2 linked regions of the Caenorhabditis elegans genome follow. The protein of the gene in region 1 interacts with the protein of each later gene in a biochemical or structural test. Each region holds a gene or a part of one and is shown on either strand. Other genes may lie near its edges.

Region 1 (7,242 bases):
GGCCCTTAGATTTTACAGTAATTCGTTGTCCGCGTAGCGAGACCTTGCGCGTAAGACATGGCGAAATTATCATCTTTAGAAGTCTATGTCATTGGAAAGTTGGTAAATTAAAACCACCCGAACTTCTAAAACTTCTTAAATTCCAAATAACAAATTTAAAAAAATATTAATTTCAGAACAAGCGTGCCAAACTCAAAAAGTCGACATCTTCTGTTCCAAGAGATCGATGCTCCTCCGTCACTCCAAATCCTCATAATCATCCGTCAATTCATGGAGGATATCAACTTATGGCTCAGTTGGCAAAGGTTCAGGCTCGAGCTTACATGCCATGAAATATTGATTTTTGTTAGGCGGTTACGGTAGGCCTTGTCTACCGTAATCCTAAAGTATCCCGGTAATAACTTTCTAGTTACTTTATCAAATTAGTGATATTCTCCTCTAGCCAACTAGTCTTCCTCCATTCATTTTTTTTCGTTTAACTTTTTCTCTCGACCAGATCTTATTTGAAATCGAAATACCTCAACATTCAGTTCTCCAAAAAAATCAAAATTTCCTCCACACACGTGTCTCCTCTTCAATGCTATATGAATTATCTCATGACTTTTCATTGTTTTTCTTTTTTGAATAAAGTTGATTTTCATTCAAACGATTCATGACAATATACACATGGATAACAAAAATTAGAAGGGGATGTATAGATTAATCACAGTTAGTAACAGTTAGAATTATATTCTTTTTAACCACTTTTCTTCCAAAATGAGTCGATTGTCACCATTTTCTTCGCTTTTGGTCTCTTCTCTTGAAGTTTTCGCTTTTTCGTAGAAGGTCTTTCTGGTTTCTGCGTTGATTTATTTTCCACAGAAACGCAAATTAACTCGGGTCCGTCATCGTTTTGCACTTTCAGAATACACTCATCGACGTGGCAGTTCATAACGTCTAAACGATTTTCGACATCAGTTCCACAAATGGGACAAGGACGAGTATCCATCATTATGACATCATCATCGTCGACGTTTTCCGATCCTTGTAGATTTTGAATTTGAAGTTTTTTCTCATTCCAAAACTCTGTGATCTGAAATAAAATGTCTCAAAAAAATAGAAGAAAACATTGCTTTATATTTATCAGTTATGGTTTTCAAAATTTTCTGACATACCGTTTTGCTTCTTTTTTTCTCATCTTCTTCAAATATCAATTGTGATAATCTGACTCCTAACAATCGAATTTCTTTTCCTTTTTCTTTTTCCAACAACTCCAGTGAGAACTTTTGAATATCTTCAAGTGACTTCACCACATCAGAAGGTGTCAACGATCTTGTGAGAACATCGAATGAAGATAATTTTAATTTTAGAGTTACAGTTTTTCCTCCGACAATTCCTGATTTACGAACATCTTCTTCAAGCATTCTACAGATTTCTTGATGCTCTTCTAGGAGGATGTTGAAATCCGAAGTTGGAGAAAAAGTTCTCTCAACTGAAATGCTTTTTCTTCGTGGATCCGATTCAGATGGACGACCTGGCAGTCCGAGAGCCGTTCGAAGGAAAGATTCTTGTGAGAGAGGCGTGAAACACAAAGGGTATAGGTTCTTCTTCAGATTCATATCACCAACAGTTTGAATATCCATTGCTTTCAGTTGAGCTTCGCATACACGACCAATTCCTCCAACCTAAAAAATTATCTAGGTAAAACTAGAAGGTTATGCTTTAATAGTCTCACCTTACGAATCGGTAAATCCTTCAAAAACTCCATAATCGCGTTTTTATCATTTTCTAACACATATTGACCATTTGGTTTGTTCAAATCAGAACAAATCTTAGCGAGCATAAAGTTAGATGCGATTCCAGCAGAACATGTTAATCCCGTGAGTTGTTCAACTCGAAATCGAATTTCTCGAACAGCCTCCTCTCGTCCAGTTCCGAACTCCACATGGTCGTAGTAGATTTTCCGCGATTTTTCGCATTTTGGACAGATCGATTCTTCGATTTTCAAGTCTTCCAAAGTATTTTCATTCTCGTCGAAACGGGGTAACCAACATGGACAATCTCCGCCGAATCTGTGACGCTTGAAGGTTTCTAGTAAGCAAATAGTTTTTTGTTAATAATCAAATCTAAATCACTAACTTTTTTCTGTATTACTTGCCACATAGTCTGTCAAATCTATAAATGCCTCATCCAATGACATCATTCCAACATCCGAATCGTATTCCATGAAAATTTGTGAAAATTGGCGACTGACTTTAGTGTATTTAGGGTAATTTCCTGGAACAATCGTTAGACTCGGACAAAGTTTATTTGAGATGAAGCCAGGCATTCCAGCACGGACTCCAAAACGGCGAGCCAAGTAGTTGGATGTGCTCTGAAAGAATAGATTTAAAGCTTTTCCGAAATCGAAAATTTACTTTTCAAATTGAGTTAGGTGCTTACCAGCATTGCCGATGAGCCTACGGCCATAGGAACTGTTCTCAGTGCAGGATTATCTCTCATTTCAACTGCGGCAAAATAAGCATCCATATCTATACAAACACAGTCTCTTGATAAATCTCTAGATGATTCCAGTTTCATCTCAAGATTCTCCATCTGAAAATTGGAAATTTGCTCTAAGTAAATTTATTAGCTTTTAAAATACATACCAGTATCTCAGATTTTTGTCTTTCTTCTCTGGTTGCTGTTTGCAAACGATTTTTGATTTCTAAAACTTTCTCTTCAATTCTTGATTGTTGTTTTTTGGAAAACGACGAGTAGGACGCTGATGTGTTTTCTTCGATGACTTTCGTGATTTTCTCCTTATCCAGTCCATTCATTCCAGCTTTATTATCGTTGAAAGTCAGCATTTTTCACGAAAAAGAGCCGGATTTTGAAATTCGCGGAGAAACTCCACTGATTGTGAGTGTGCAAATGCGCGTAATGGTGTACTTACGTACATCGGCAACACATTTGACGACATATCAGAAAGCGGCGCCAAATTAGAAGTTGAGTGCGCGAGAAAAAACTACGCGTTAACCGCCAATTTTCACTTCCCCACAGATCTGTCTCGAGATTCTCGAGTCATTTTTCAAGTTTATTTGTTTGTCAGCGGTTGTTTTATTGAAGATTTGTAAAATTTATAACAAAATGTGCAATAGTCTATTAAACCTCGTGAGATATTTGAAGAAACTTTCCCCGTTTTAAATATTTCGTGTATTCGTGGAGATCGCGGGAATGTTTTGCCTGTTTCCGTAAAATTCCTCTATTTCTTTTATTTTTGCTTGCAATTTTCGATTCATTTCAGAAGTTTCCACATTCGCAAAACGAATGGACGTCTCTTATTACGATGGTCCCAAGGATGAAGTCGCCGAAGCAATGCTGAAAAGCGCGGTGACGGCCATGAGATTGGGACAATACGAGGATGGAAAAGGACGCTTAGAGGAGATAATGGAGTTCGGAACCTCAAATTTTCAACTACTTGGTACAATCTACATGTATTACGGAAGAGTGTGCAGGCATTTGAACCATGATGCCAAGGCCTTGGAGTTTTTCGAACATGAGTTGAACATGTTCAAGTAAGTGAATCACAAAAATGAGCTGGACATTCTATAACCTTAATTTTTCAGATTGATCTTCAACTACCCAGAAGCATGTGATTCCACACGTCGCATCGTCGAGCAGGCACTCAAAATGGGAAAGTTCCCCAAGGCTCGACGGTTTGCTGAGGATCTCATTGATTACACCAGCAATAAGAAGAACGGAGAGAAGTATATCGGTCAAGCTCGAATTTTGTTCGCTTCCGTGTGCCTCGAAGGATGTGAAAGAGACGTCGAGAGTAATCAAGATGAGAAGAAGAAGCTTTTGTCAATATGTGCTGAACAGATTGCAGCCGTGAAATTGTTCAACGAGAATAATACGGAAGGAGCTGTGTCTGAGACCAAAATCATGTTACTTGAGGCGAAATGCTTGTCACTAGACGAAAAATACGAGGAATCGCGTCGCAAGTATCAAGAATGCATCGATTTTGCCATCAAAACAGACCAGTTTGAAGCAGTTCACATCGCCTATTACGACAAGGCTCTATATGCTGAGACAGATCTTCTTTTCTTTATTATCAGAGATCTCAGGTAATTTTTAGTTTTAACGATTAATAAAAATATCAATTCTTTATTCACAGAAGTGCTCTCTTCTACGCCACGAAATTCGGAAAAGAGCGAGATGTAGTCAAATATAAGTCGAAGCTATCCGAAGAGATGCTGAGAAATGGCGAATTCCACGAAGCATATCTCTACGGATTGGAAGCGCTTGTATCGATTCGGAAGCTTGGATTGAACGAATACATTGGAGATGTGTTGCTTACAATCGCAAAGTGCCTCATTGCACTTGGAAAAAGACGCCAAGCTGCTTATTTTATCATCTTGGGGAGTGTTCTGACCATCAACCAAAACAGTTTCAAACTGTTCTACGAGCAGATCGACGTGGCGATGAATCAAGAGAGAAGCGAAACGGCAACTGATCAAGATGTATGCCTCGCAATTGATTCGTCTCCTGATCCGACATCCTCGAATGACATGATTAATAAGTTCGTCGTCGAACTGGAGCACGCAACAAATGTGGAAACCTGGGAAATGATTGTCAACGGAATCATTGACGACCAGAAGAAACCAGTGGCGATCGAAAAGAAAGAGAACGAGGAACCCGTAGACATGATGGATCTCATTTTCAGTATGAGCTCACGTATGGATGATCAAAGAACTGAACTGCCTGCTGCCAGATTCATTCCGCGTAAGAAATGTTATAAATAAGCGTATAAGTATGCAAATTTATATTTTTCCAGCTCGTCCAGTGTCATCGGCATCGAAAAAGACTACAAAGAGTCACAGAATCCTCCCTGGACTCCGTGCCAATTGGACAAAAGTGCAGTCGATGAAGTTCGATGGTCACACAATGAATAGGATCCTGAAGAGGTCGAAGAAAAGCAAATCGTCATTGGATTCTACAAATTCGATGCAGGGCGATGATACTCGAAGCGATGATGTGACAATGACGTCCAAATAGGACCATTATTTTTTCTGTCAAATAATACAATCAAACTTTCTTTATTTATTTTTTTTTTACTTTCTTTCAGTAAATATTATTATCATTTTAGTGGTTCTTTTATTTTATTTGCTGGTCAGAAAAGCTGATTTTTTCAATTAGCGAAAATCCATCAAGTCATATTTCTATAGACTCTTTACTACATACGTTGATGACTTTCGTGATTTTCTCCTTATCCGGTTCATCCATTCCAGCTTTATTATTGTTGAAAGTAAATAAGCATTGTTTCCCGAAAAAGAGCCGGATTTTGAAATTCGCGGAGAAAAAGTTGAAAATTGAAAAATCCAAACGATGCTCCGATGTTCCGTCCGAAATGTGTGTTTTACCGTGACGGTGTTTGCAGACAGCTTGAAAAAACATTTATTTTTTTATTTTAATTTTATTAATTTATTATTTATTTTAGAATGTTCTATATTTTAAAATGTGAATTTGTTTCAGGGTACTCGGAATGTTTGTCTTAAACCGTTCAAGCGGGCTCATTCATCGATCTGTACCTTTATTAGCTCAAGTATCCACGCCTACGACTTCCACAACAAAATTAGGTTAATAATTCTCCATTTGGTGATAAACCAATTCTTTTCTGCTTTTTTAAAACATTATGTTACAGCTCAACTTCACACAACGCATGCACTAAGCAAAGAAGATTATTATAAGACTTTGGGTGTCGACAAAAAATCTGATGCAAAAGCAATCAAAAAGGCTTATTTCCAGGTAATATAAGTTTTTATCGAATACTTTGTAAGTATAAATACGTTATTTCAGCTTGCCAAGAAATACCATCCAGATGTAAACAAAACAAAAGAAGCGCAGACGAAATTTCAAGAGATTTCTGAAGCATATGAGGTATTTTCAACAAACAATAGAGCAGGCTCGAATCAAAAATATTAAGGTACTTTCCGATGACACAAAACGTCAAGAATATGATGCATACGGAAGCGGAGGTGGCCCAGCTGGTGGAAGAGGTGGTGCTGGAGGTTTCCACCACCATGGAAATGTTGATGTTAACGAAATTTTCAGAAGAGCATTTGGTGGAGGGGGTGGAATGGTGAGTTCTCCTTATGAATTCTTCTGAATATTATATTAATTATATAATTTTTATTGTAATTAATAAAAACTACAGTTTTATTTATTTTTTCGCTGATTCCAGGGTGGCTTTAATTTTGATAATTTTGCCCAAAGTGCTTTCGGACATTCTGCTGCTCAGGAAATGGTTATGGATATTTCGTTCGAAGAAGCTGTCCGAGGAGCCACCAAAAATGTTTCTGTAAACGTAGTTGAAGATTGTCTGAAATGTCACGGAACTCAAGTTGAACCAGGTCACAAAAAGACGTCGTGTCCGTATTGTAACGGAACTGGAGCAGTTTCTCAACGTCTTCAGGGTGGTTTCTTCTATCAAACAACTTGTAATCGATGCAGAGGAAGTGGACATTATAATAAGGTAGAGTTATTGATTTTTCTTTTATTGTAGCTTTTAATTTTTTCTTCAGAATCCTTGTCAAGAATGTGAAGGTGAAGGTCAAACCGTTCAACGACGTCAAGTATCATTCAATGTGCCAGCTGGAACTAATAATGGAGATAGTTTGAAGTTCCAAGTGGGGAAAAATCAATTATTTGTTCGTTTCAACGTTGCACCATCTTTGAAATTCCGACGTGAGAAAGATGATATTCACTGTGACGTAGATATTTCTCTGGCTCAAGCTGTTCTTGGTGGTACTGTAAAGGTTCCTGGAATTAATGGAGATACATATGTTCATATTCCGGCAGGAACTGGCAGTCACACTAAAATGAGGTAATAAATCTCCAAAAATTGGAACTTAAATATTCATTAAACAATTTTCAGATTAACAGGAAAAGGAGTAAAACGATTGCATTCTTACGGAAATGGAGATCAATATATGCATATTAAAGTAACGGTTCCGAAATATTTGACAGCCGAACAGAAACAAATTATGTTGGCTTGGGCTGCGACGGAACAGCTGAAAGATGGAACCATCAAAGGATTGGAGAAAAATCAGAAAACCGAGGAGAAGGAGACGAAGAAAAATGAGGAAAAGAAGTCTGAAGGTGAAAAAATATGATTTCAATTTGAAACAAAGGTTTTATCAAAAAGTTGTCTTTAAAAAATCGAGAAATTACCAAAAAAAATTCATTAATTTTTTTTTTTTAAACCGACATTATTGGTTG
Region 2 (7,560 bases), on another chromosome or scaffold:
TAATTTTAGCCAAAAATTCGATATTTTTAGCCAAAAATCCGTTAATTTTAGCCAAAAATCCGTTAATTTTAGCCAAAAATTCGATATTTTTAGCAAAAAAAATCCGTTAATTTTAGGCAAAGAACCGTTAATTTTAGCCAAAAAATCCGTTAATTTTAGCCAAAAAAATCCGTTAATTTAAGTCAAAAAATCCGTTAATTTTAGCCAAAAAAATCCGTTAATTTAAGTCAAAAAATCCGTTAATTTAAGTCAAAAAATCCGTTAATTTTAGCCAAAAAAGAACCGTTATTTTTAGCCAAAAAATCCGTTAATTTTAGCCAAAAATTCGATATTTTTAGCAAAAAGAATCCGTTAATTTTAGCCAAAAATCCGTTAATTTTAGCCAAAAATCCGTTAATTTTAGCCAAAAATTCGATATTTTTAGCAAAAAAAATCCGTTAATTTTAGGCAAAGAACCGTTAATTTTAGCCAAAAATTCGATATTTTTAGCCAAAAAATCCATTAATTTTAGCCAAAAATTGCTAATTTTAGCAAAAAAATTCGCTATTTTTAGCCAAAAAATCCGTTAATTTTAGCCAAAAAATTCGCTATTTTTAGCCAAAAAACTGTTAATTTTAGCCAAAAATCCGTTGATTTTAGCCAAACAATTAGTTATTTTTAGCCAAAAAATCCGTAAATTTTAGCCAAAAAATCTGTTATTTTTAGTCAAAAAATTCGTGAATTTTAACCGGAAAATCCGTTATTTTTACTACAAAAATAGCGAATTTTCGCCAATTTTAACCAAAATCTCTCGATTTTTTGTCAAAAATGCACCAAATGTGCGCTTTTTTTCGTTTTTTTTTGGCATTTTCCCTACTTCAATAGCGAGTTTGCAGGTCGTCGTGCAAATTTTGACTTCGATTTCAACAGAATCCAGCAGAATTCGATCATCAGTCATACATTCCAAACAATTTTCAGCATCCTTTATGGGCACTTCGATGAAATCTGAGAGAGCAAACACTTTAGAATTGCCAGGGTTTACAGCTCTTTTAATCACCATCCAACTGGCACGCGACGTCCATTTTTGGCTGCCCATTCACCCGCTCGCCGCCACCCTTGCAAATGTTGTGAAATTTGATGACAAACGGTTCAGAGTACTCGAAATTCTCCAGATCGCCGTGCTCGACGAGCTCGTTGTTCGATGGTGCTCTTTCCGGCGTTCTTTTCCATCTGAAACTGCTGTTTTTCCTTTTTTTTTTTGTCGCAAAATCTTTTTTTTCACCGAATTTTTCCACCAACCTGAACAGCGAATCTTCGAAAAGAGACGAAGAATTCGATTTTGGGCTTTCCAAATTTGAAAAATTCAAAGAAGTTGTCACAGAACTAGCCATTTCGAAGTTGAAATGATTAAAAATCAAAAACAAAAAATTTCGATAAAAATCAATGTCCGAGAGGAGTACACGCTTGGGAACCATGCGCGGGTCTCGCACGGAAGAGACGAATTGAAGTACGGTAGCTCGTAAATCCTGTTCCACGATTGATTTTTTTTTAATTTTTGATCAATTTTTTCGATTTTATCCCAGAAGTTCTTGAAAATTATCCGTTTTTTTGCAATTTTTTCGGAAAAATGCTCTAAAATTTAAGATTTTTAGCATTTTTTTCCGAAAAAAATGTTTTAAAATTGCAGATTTTTAGCATTTTTTCACAAAAAATGCACTAAAATTAAGATTCTTAGCATTTTTGCGGAAAAAATGCTAAAAATCTTGCAAAGACTGAAAAAATTCGAATTTGTTGTAATATTGCATGTTTTCCGAGGTTTTACATCAAATATGTGTAGTTTTCCTTGAAATTTGACGTTTTTCACTGAAAAATTCTACAAAAATAAGCATTTCTGAGCTCTTTTGTCGCAAAAGTTGATGAAAATCGCCAATTTTTCAATAAATATTGCACAGAAACCGTCAGATTTTTAGCATTTTTTCGGAAAAATGCACTAAAATTTTAGATTATTAGCAATTTTTCAGAAAAATGCTCTAAAATTTAAGATTTTTAGCCCTTTTTTTCAGAAAAATTCACTAAAATGCAAGATTTTAATCATTTTTTTGCAAGAAAAATGCTCTAAAATCTAAGTTTTTTAGCATTTTTTTCGGAAAAATGTTTGAAAATCCCTTCTTTAACGCCTTTTTCGCACTAAAAGATGCTCAAACTAGTTTAAACTTTCAGAGTTTTCCCATGCTTTTGCCCCCTCCACTTCACAAGAAACAAGAAACAAATACGGCGGGAAAAAAGCGAAAATTCGCGGAAAACATCATTTTCAATGCATTTTTCATCGCGAAAATTGCCGAATTTCATTAAAAATGGCCAATTTTTGTGCCAGTTTTCCCAATTAATCATGTATTTTCGATTAACTCGAAGCCCCTGCGCAGAGAAAAACACAAAAATGTTGCAATTGTTTGTGTAAAGCACTTCTCTGCGCGTCTGCGGCATCCGATATGACGAGCAATATATATCTTTTTTCTGGGAGCCTTTTATTTTAAATTTATCATTTTTCATTTAGTTTTTGAGAAAAAAATTCCCCCAAAATTAACCTAAAAGCCTTGAAAATGTGAATTTTGAGTGAAATTTGACGTTTTTCAGCGAAAAATTCTCAATTTTTAGTGCATTTTTGCCGGAAAAATGCTAATAATCTTGAATTTTAGTGCTTAGCGGAAAAAAAATTCAAAATGAAAATGTCGAATTTGAAATAAAATGCTTTAAAATTTAAGATTTTTAGCATTTTTCCCGAGAAAAGCTAAAAATCTTAATTTTTATAGCTTTTTTGTTGAAAAAATGCTAAAAATCTTAAATTTTAGATCATTTTATTTCAAATTCGACATTTTCATTTTGTATTTAAGAAAAAATAACCTCAAAGTCTGAAAAATATCGAATTTTGAGTGAAATTTGACATTTTTCAGCGAAAAATTCTCATTTTTCCGGAAAAAATGCTAAAAATCTTGAATTTTAGTGCATTTTTCCAGAAAAAATGCTAAAAATCTCAATTTTTAGTGCATTTTCCCGGAAAAATGCTAAAAATCTTAAATTTTAGAGCATTTTCCAGAAAAAATGCTTAAAATCTTGAATTTCAGAGCATTCTTAATGAAAAATGCTAAAAATCTTAAATTTTAGAGCATTTTTCTCGAAAAAATGCTTAAAATCTTGAATTTCAGAGCATTTTTTTCGGAAAAATGCTAAAAATCTCAATTTTTAGTGCATTTTTCTGAAAAAATACTAAAAATCTTGAATTTTTAGAGCATTTTCGCTGAAAAATAATAAAAATTTTAAATTTTAGAGCATTTTTCCGAAAAAAAAAACGCTAAAAATCTTGTAATAACTGACAAATTTCGAATTTTGAGTAAAATGGCATGTTTTTTGAGGTTTTTCCTTGAAATTTGACGTTTTTCACCTAAAAATTCGACAAAAATGAGCATTTCTGAGCTCTTATATTGCAAAAATTGACAAAAATCGTCAATTTTTCAATAAAAATTGCCCAAAAACCTTAAAATATTCTGAAAAAAGCCGAAAAAACCCCATTTTTTAGCCATTTTCTACAGAATTTTACATTTTTCTCAACTTTCTTCACCTAAAATCGCCGATATTATTCACATAAAATTCCCTTTTTTTTCAGCGCAATGGGGTGTATTATGAGCCAGGAGGATGAAGCAGCGAAACGAAGATCCAAGAAGATTGATCGATTGGTAAAAATTGGGGATTTTTCGTTGAAAAAACTCGATTTTTTGTGAAAAAATATAGAAAAATCATCAAAACTGCTTCAAAAACCGAAAAATTTCACTAAAAACTAGAATTTTTGCTCGAAAACCTCAAAAAATCGCAAAATTTGCAGTGAAAACTAGATTTTTATTTTTAAAAAATTCAAAAAGTTCATAAAAATCAATAAAAAAATCGGATTTTTTTTCTTAAAAAATCTGGAAAACTGTCTAAAAATCTACTCAAAATCAGTTTTTTTTGTAGAAAATCTGAAAAATAGTCTAAAAAATTAATAAAAATCGATTTTTTGGGAGAAAATTTGAAAAATTACGAAAAAAATCAATAAAAAATCGGTTTTTTGGGAAAAACCCTGAAAAATTGTCTAAAAATCTATAAAAAATTGGATTTTTTAAATAGAAAATCTGAAAAACTGCCAAAAAATCAACAAAAAATCGATTTTTGTGTGAGAAAACCTGAAAAATTATCAAAAAATTGGTTTTTATCTAGAAAATCTGAAAAATTACCTAAAAAGCAATAAAAAATCGGTTTTTTTTCTGGAAAAACTGTAAAATAGCCTAAAAATCAATTTAAAAAAAGTTTTTTTTTTTGTAGAAAACCTGAAAAATTATCAATAAAAACCACGAAAAACAGTTTTTCGCTTATAAAAAGTCCAAAAATCCCAAAATTTGCATTAAAAACTAGATTTTTATTTCAAAAAAATTCAAAAATTGCCTGAAAATCAATAAAATTGTTGTTTTTTTTTGGAAAAAAAAACCCTGAAAAATTGGCTAAAAATCCCAAATTTTTTTGCAGCTCAAAGAAGACGGCGAGAACTCAATGCGAACCATCAAGCTTCTGCTCCTGGGAGCCGGCGAGTCTGGAAAATCGACGATTTTAAAGCAGATGCGTATCATTCACGACGTCGGATATACGACTGAAGAGAGAAAAGTGTTCAGAGGCGTCGTTTATGGAAATATTATTTTGGTCAGTGCTCCGATGCACTGAAAAATGACAGGAAATTGGCAATTTTGACCAAAATTCGTGGATTTTAACCAAAAAATCCGTTAATTTTAATCAAAAATCGGCTAATTTTAGCCAAAAAATTCGCTATTTTAACCAAAAAATCCGTTGATTTTAGTCAAAAAATTCGCTATTTTTAGCCAAAAAATCGCTATTTTTAGCCAAAAAATCCGTTAATTTTAGCCAAAAATTTCGCTATTTTTAGCCAAAAAATCCGTTAATTTTAGGCAAAAAATCCGTTAATTTTAGTCAAAAAATCCGCTATTTTAACCAAAAAATCCGCTATTTTAACCAAAAAATCCGTTAATTTTAGCCAAAAAATTCGCTATTTTTAGCCAAAAAATCCGTTAATTTTAGCCAAAAAATTCGCTATTTTTAGCCAAAAAATCCGTTAATTTTAGCCAAAAAATTCGCTATTTTTAGCCAAAAAATCCGTTAATTTTAGCCAAAAAATTCGCTATTTTTAGCCAAAAAATTCGCTATTTTTAGCCAAAAAATCCGTTAATTTTAGCCAAAAAATTCGCTATTTTTAGCCAAAAAATTCACCAATTTTCGTTTAAGATTCTCCAATTTTTGACAAAAAAATTCACCGAATTTGCTCAAAATTCTCCCTTTTTTGGCTAAAAAATGCATAAATTACACAATTAAACCAAAAATTACCCAATTTCGCCCAAAAACTCTAATTTTTACCAAAAATTCTCCTATTTTTTGTTGAAAATTCACCAATTTTTTTGCCAAATTTTAACAGAAAAATCTATAAAATATCAGGCGAAAATAACCTAATTTTGGTCAAAAATTCACCGATTTTTGTTCAAAATTCTTCAATTTTACCCAATATCCACCAAATTTTAACCAAAAAAGTCTAAAAAATTATTCAAAAAATCCCTAATTTTGGCCCAAAATTCTCCATTTTTACTCAAAAATTCTCTCTTTTTAACCAAAAAATCTAGAATATTAGGTGAAAAATGCCTAATTTTGGCTAAAAATTCACCGATTTTTGACAAAAAAAACCTCCAATTTCAGCTTAAAACTCTCTGATTTTTACCAAAAAAATCTAAAATATTAGGCGAAAAATCACTAATTTCGGCTAAAAAATCACCAATTTTTGACAAAAGAAACTCCAATTCCAACAAAAAATTCACAAAATTTACTCAAAAATTGTCTGTTTTTCACAAAAAAAAAACCTACAATATTAGGAGAAAATTCACAAATTTTGGCCAAAAAATCCCTAATTTTGGCCGAAAAATTTGCCAATTTTGTTCAAAATTCTCCAATTTTCGACTAAAAAAACCTGCCATATTCAGCAAAAAGTTCACCAAATTTACTCAAAAATTCAAAAAAAATCTAGAATATTAGGCGAAAAATCCCTAATTTTGTCCAAAAATTCACCGATTTTTGACAAAAAAAACTCTAATTTCAGCAGAAACTTCACCAAATCATAGCCAAAAATTCACTGTTTTTTACCAAAAAAATAGAATATTAAGAGAAAATCCCTAAATTTGTCCAAAAAATTAAACAAATTATAGCCAAAAATGCTCTGTTTTTTACCAAAAATTCTAGAATATTAGGTAAAAAATCCCTAATTTTTCCCAAAAAATTCACCGAATTTACTCCAAAATGCTCTGTTTTTGACAAAAAAAAACTCTAATTCCAGCACAAAATTTACCAAATTATAGCCAAAAATGCTCTTTTTTTTCCAAAAAAAATCTAAAATATTAGGCGAAAAATCCCTAATTTTGTCCAAAAATTCACCGATTTTTGACAAAAAAAACTCTAATTTCAGCAGAAACTTCACCAAATCATAGCCAAAAATTCACTGTTTTTTACCAAAAAAATAGAATATTAAGAGAAAATCCCTAAATTTGTCCAAAAAATTAAACAAATTATAGCCAAAAATGCTCTGTTTTTTACCAAAAATTCTAGAATATTAGGTAAAAAATCCCTAATTTTTCCCAAAAAATTCACCGAATTTACTCCAAAATGCTCTGTTTTTGACAAAAAAAAACTCTAATTCCAGCACAAAATTTACCAAATTATAGCCAAAAATGCTCTTTTTTTTCCAAAAAAAATCTAAAATATTAGGCGAAAAATCCCTAATTTTGGCCAAAAAAATTACACCAATTTTCCCCAATTTCAGCTTAAAATGTTCAATTTCTAACCAAAAAACCCCCAAATTTTAACCCAAAAATTCCCTCGAATTTCACCCCAAAACCGTCCAATTTTCCAGTCTCTCAACGCCATCATCCACGCTATGGAGCAGTTAAAAATCAGCTTCACCACACTCGATCACGAATCAGATGCCCGAAAGCTTCTAATGTTCAGCACAACAGGCGAAGAGGATGAGCTGCCCGAAGAGCTCGTCGTGCTCATGAAGAGTGTTTGGTCCGATTCGGGAATTCAGAAAGCGCTCGAAAGGTGGCGAAATTTCGCTGAAAATTGAGAAAATTCGAGGGATTTTCGCTGAAAATCGAGAAATTTCGGTGGAAATTAGCTTATTTCCATGAAAAAATCGTTAAAATCCCAGAAAATTGCGATTTTGGACTATTTTTGAGCATTTTTCGCGTTTTTTCCATGAAAAATTCAATGAAATCGATTTTTTAGGTCATATTCGCTGAAAATTACCGCTTTTTTCGATGAAAAATTCGTTGATATTCGTTGAAAATTATCTATTAGAGCTAATTAAAATTTAAAATTCCAAAAAAAAAAATATTTTAAAATAATCAATCGAATTATTTTTTGCTCACACTTTCAAAAACCGCTAAAAATTCTAAAAAAAAAATTTTGGAGCCCCTTTTCCGCTAGAAAATAGCTTTTTTTCCC

Evidence for each region. Proteins that work in one complex are often made in the same cells at the same time.
Region 2: of the proteins of gpr-1 (region 1) and gpa-16, one has a biochemical effect on the other in vitro, tested with the Caenorhabditis elegans proteins (one study listed by BioGRID).

The regions. Positions count from the first base shown.
Region 1 is NC_003281.10:8,625,669-8,632,910, forward strand, and holds gpr-1 (G-protein regulator 1), read left to right. Parts: upstream 1-3,257; 5' UTR 3,258-3,288; coding exon 3,289-3,536; intron 3,537-3,587; coding exon 3,588-4,088; intron 4,089-4,138; coding exon 4,139-4,746; intron 4,747-4,798; coding exon 4,799-5,019; 3' UTR 5,020-5,108; downstream 5,109-7,242. Other genes in the region: Homeobox protein engrailed-like ceh-16, read left to right, coding at 177-332; polk-1 (DNA polymerase kappa), read right to left, coding at 737-1,072, 1,155-1,664, 1,715-2,070, 2,119-2,353, 2,422-2,574, 2,628-2,828; DnaJ homolog dnj-10, read left to right, coding at 5,507-5,600, 5,666-5,769, 5,821-5,901, 5,948-6,103, 6,206-6,496, 6,546-6,847, 6,899-7,122. UniProt on the Caenorhabditis elegans protein: In the 1-cell embryo, probably together with gpr-2, controls nuclear rotation and spindle elongation during mitosis. Complex of gpr-1 and gpr-2, in association with lin-5, activates G-protein signaling to affect mitotic spindle force.
Region 2 is NC_003279.8:893,646-901,205, forward strand, and holds the start of gpa-16 (Guanine nucleotide-binding protein alpha-16 subunit), read left to right. Parts: upstream 1-3,640; 5' UTR 3,641-3,644; coding exon 3,645-3,710; intron 3,711-4,533; coding exon 4,534-4,704; intron 4,705-6,967; coding exon 6,968-7,155; intron 7,156-7,560. Other genes in the region: him-19 (FBD domain-containing protein), read right to left, coding at 857-984, 1,037-1,218, 1,279-1,454. UniProt on the Caenorhabditis elegans protein: Guanine nucleotide-binding proteins (G proteins) are involved as modulators or transducers in various transmembrane signaling systems. In the 1-cell embryo, probably together with goa-1, controls nuclear rotation and spindle elongation during mitosis.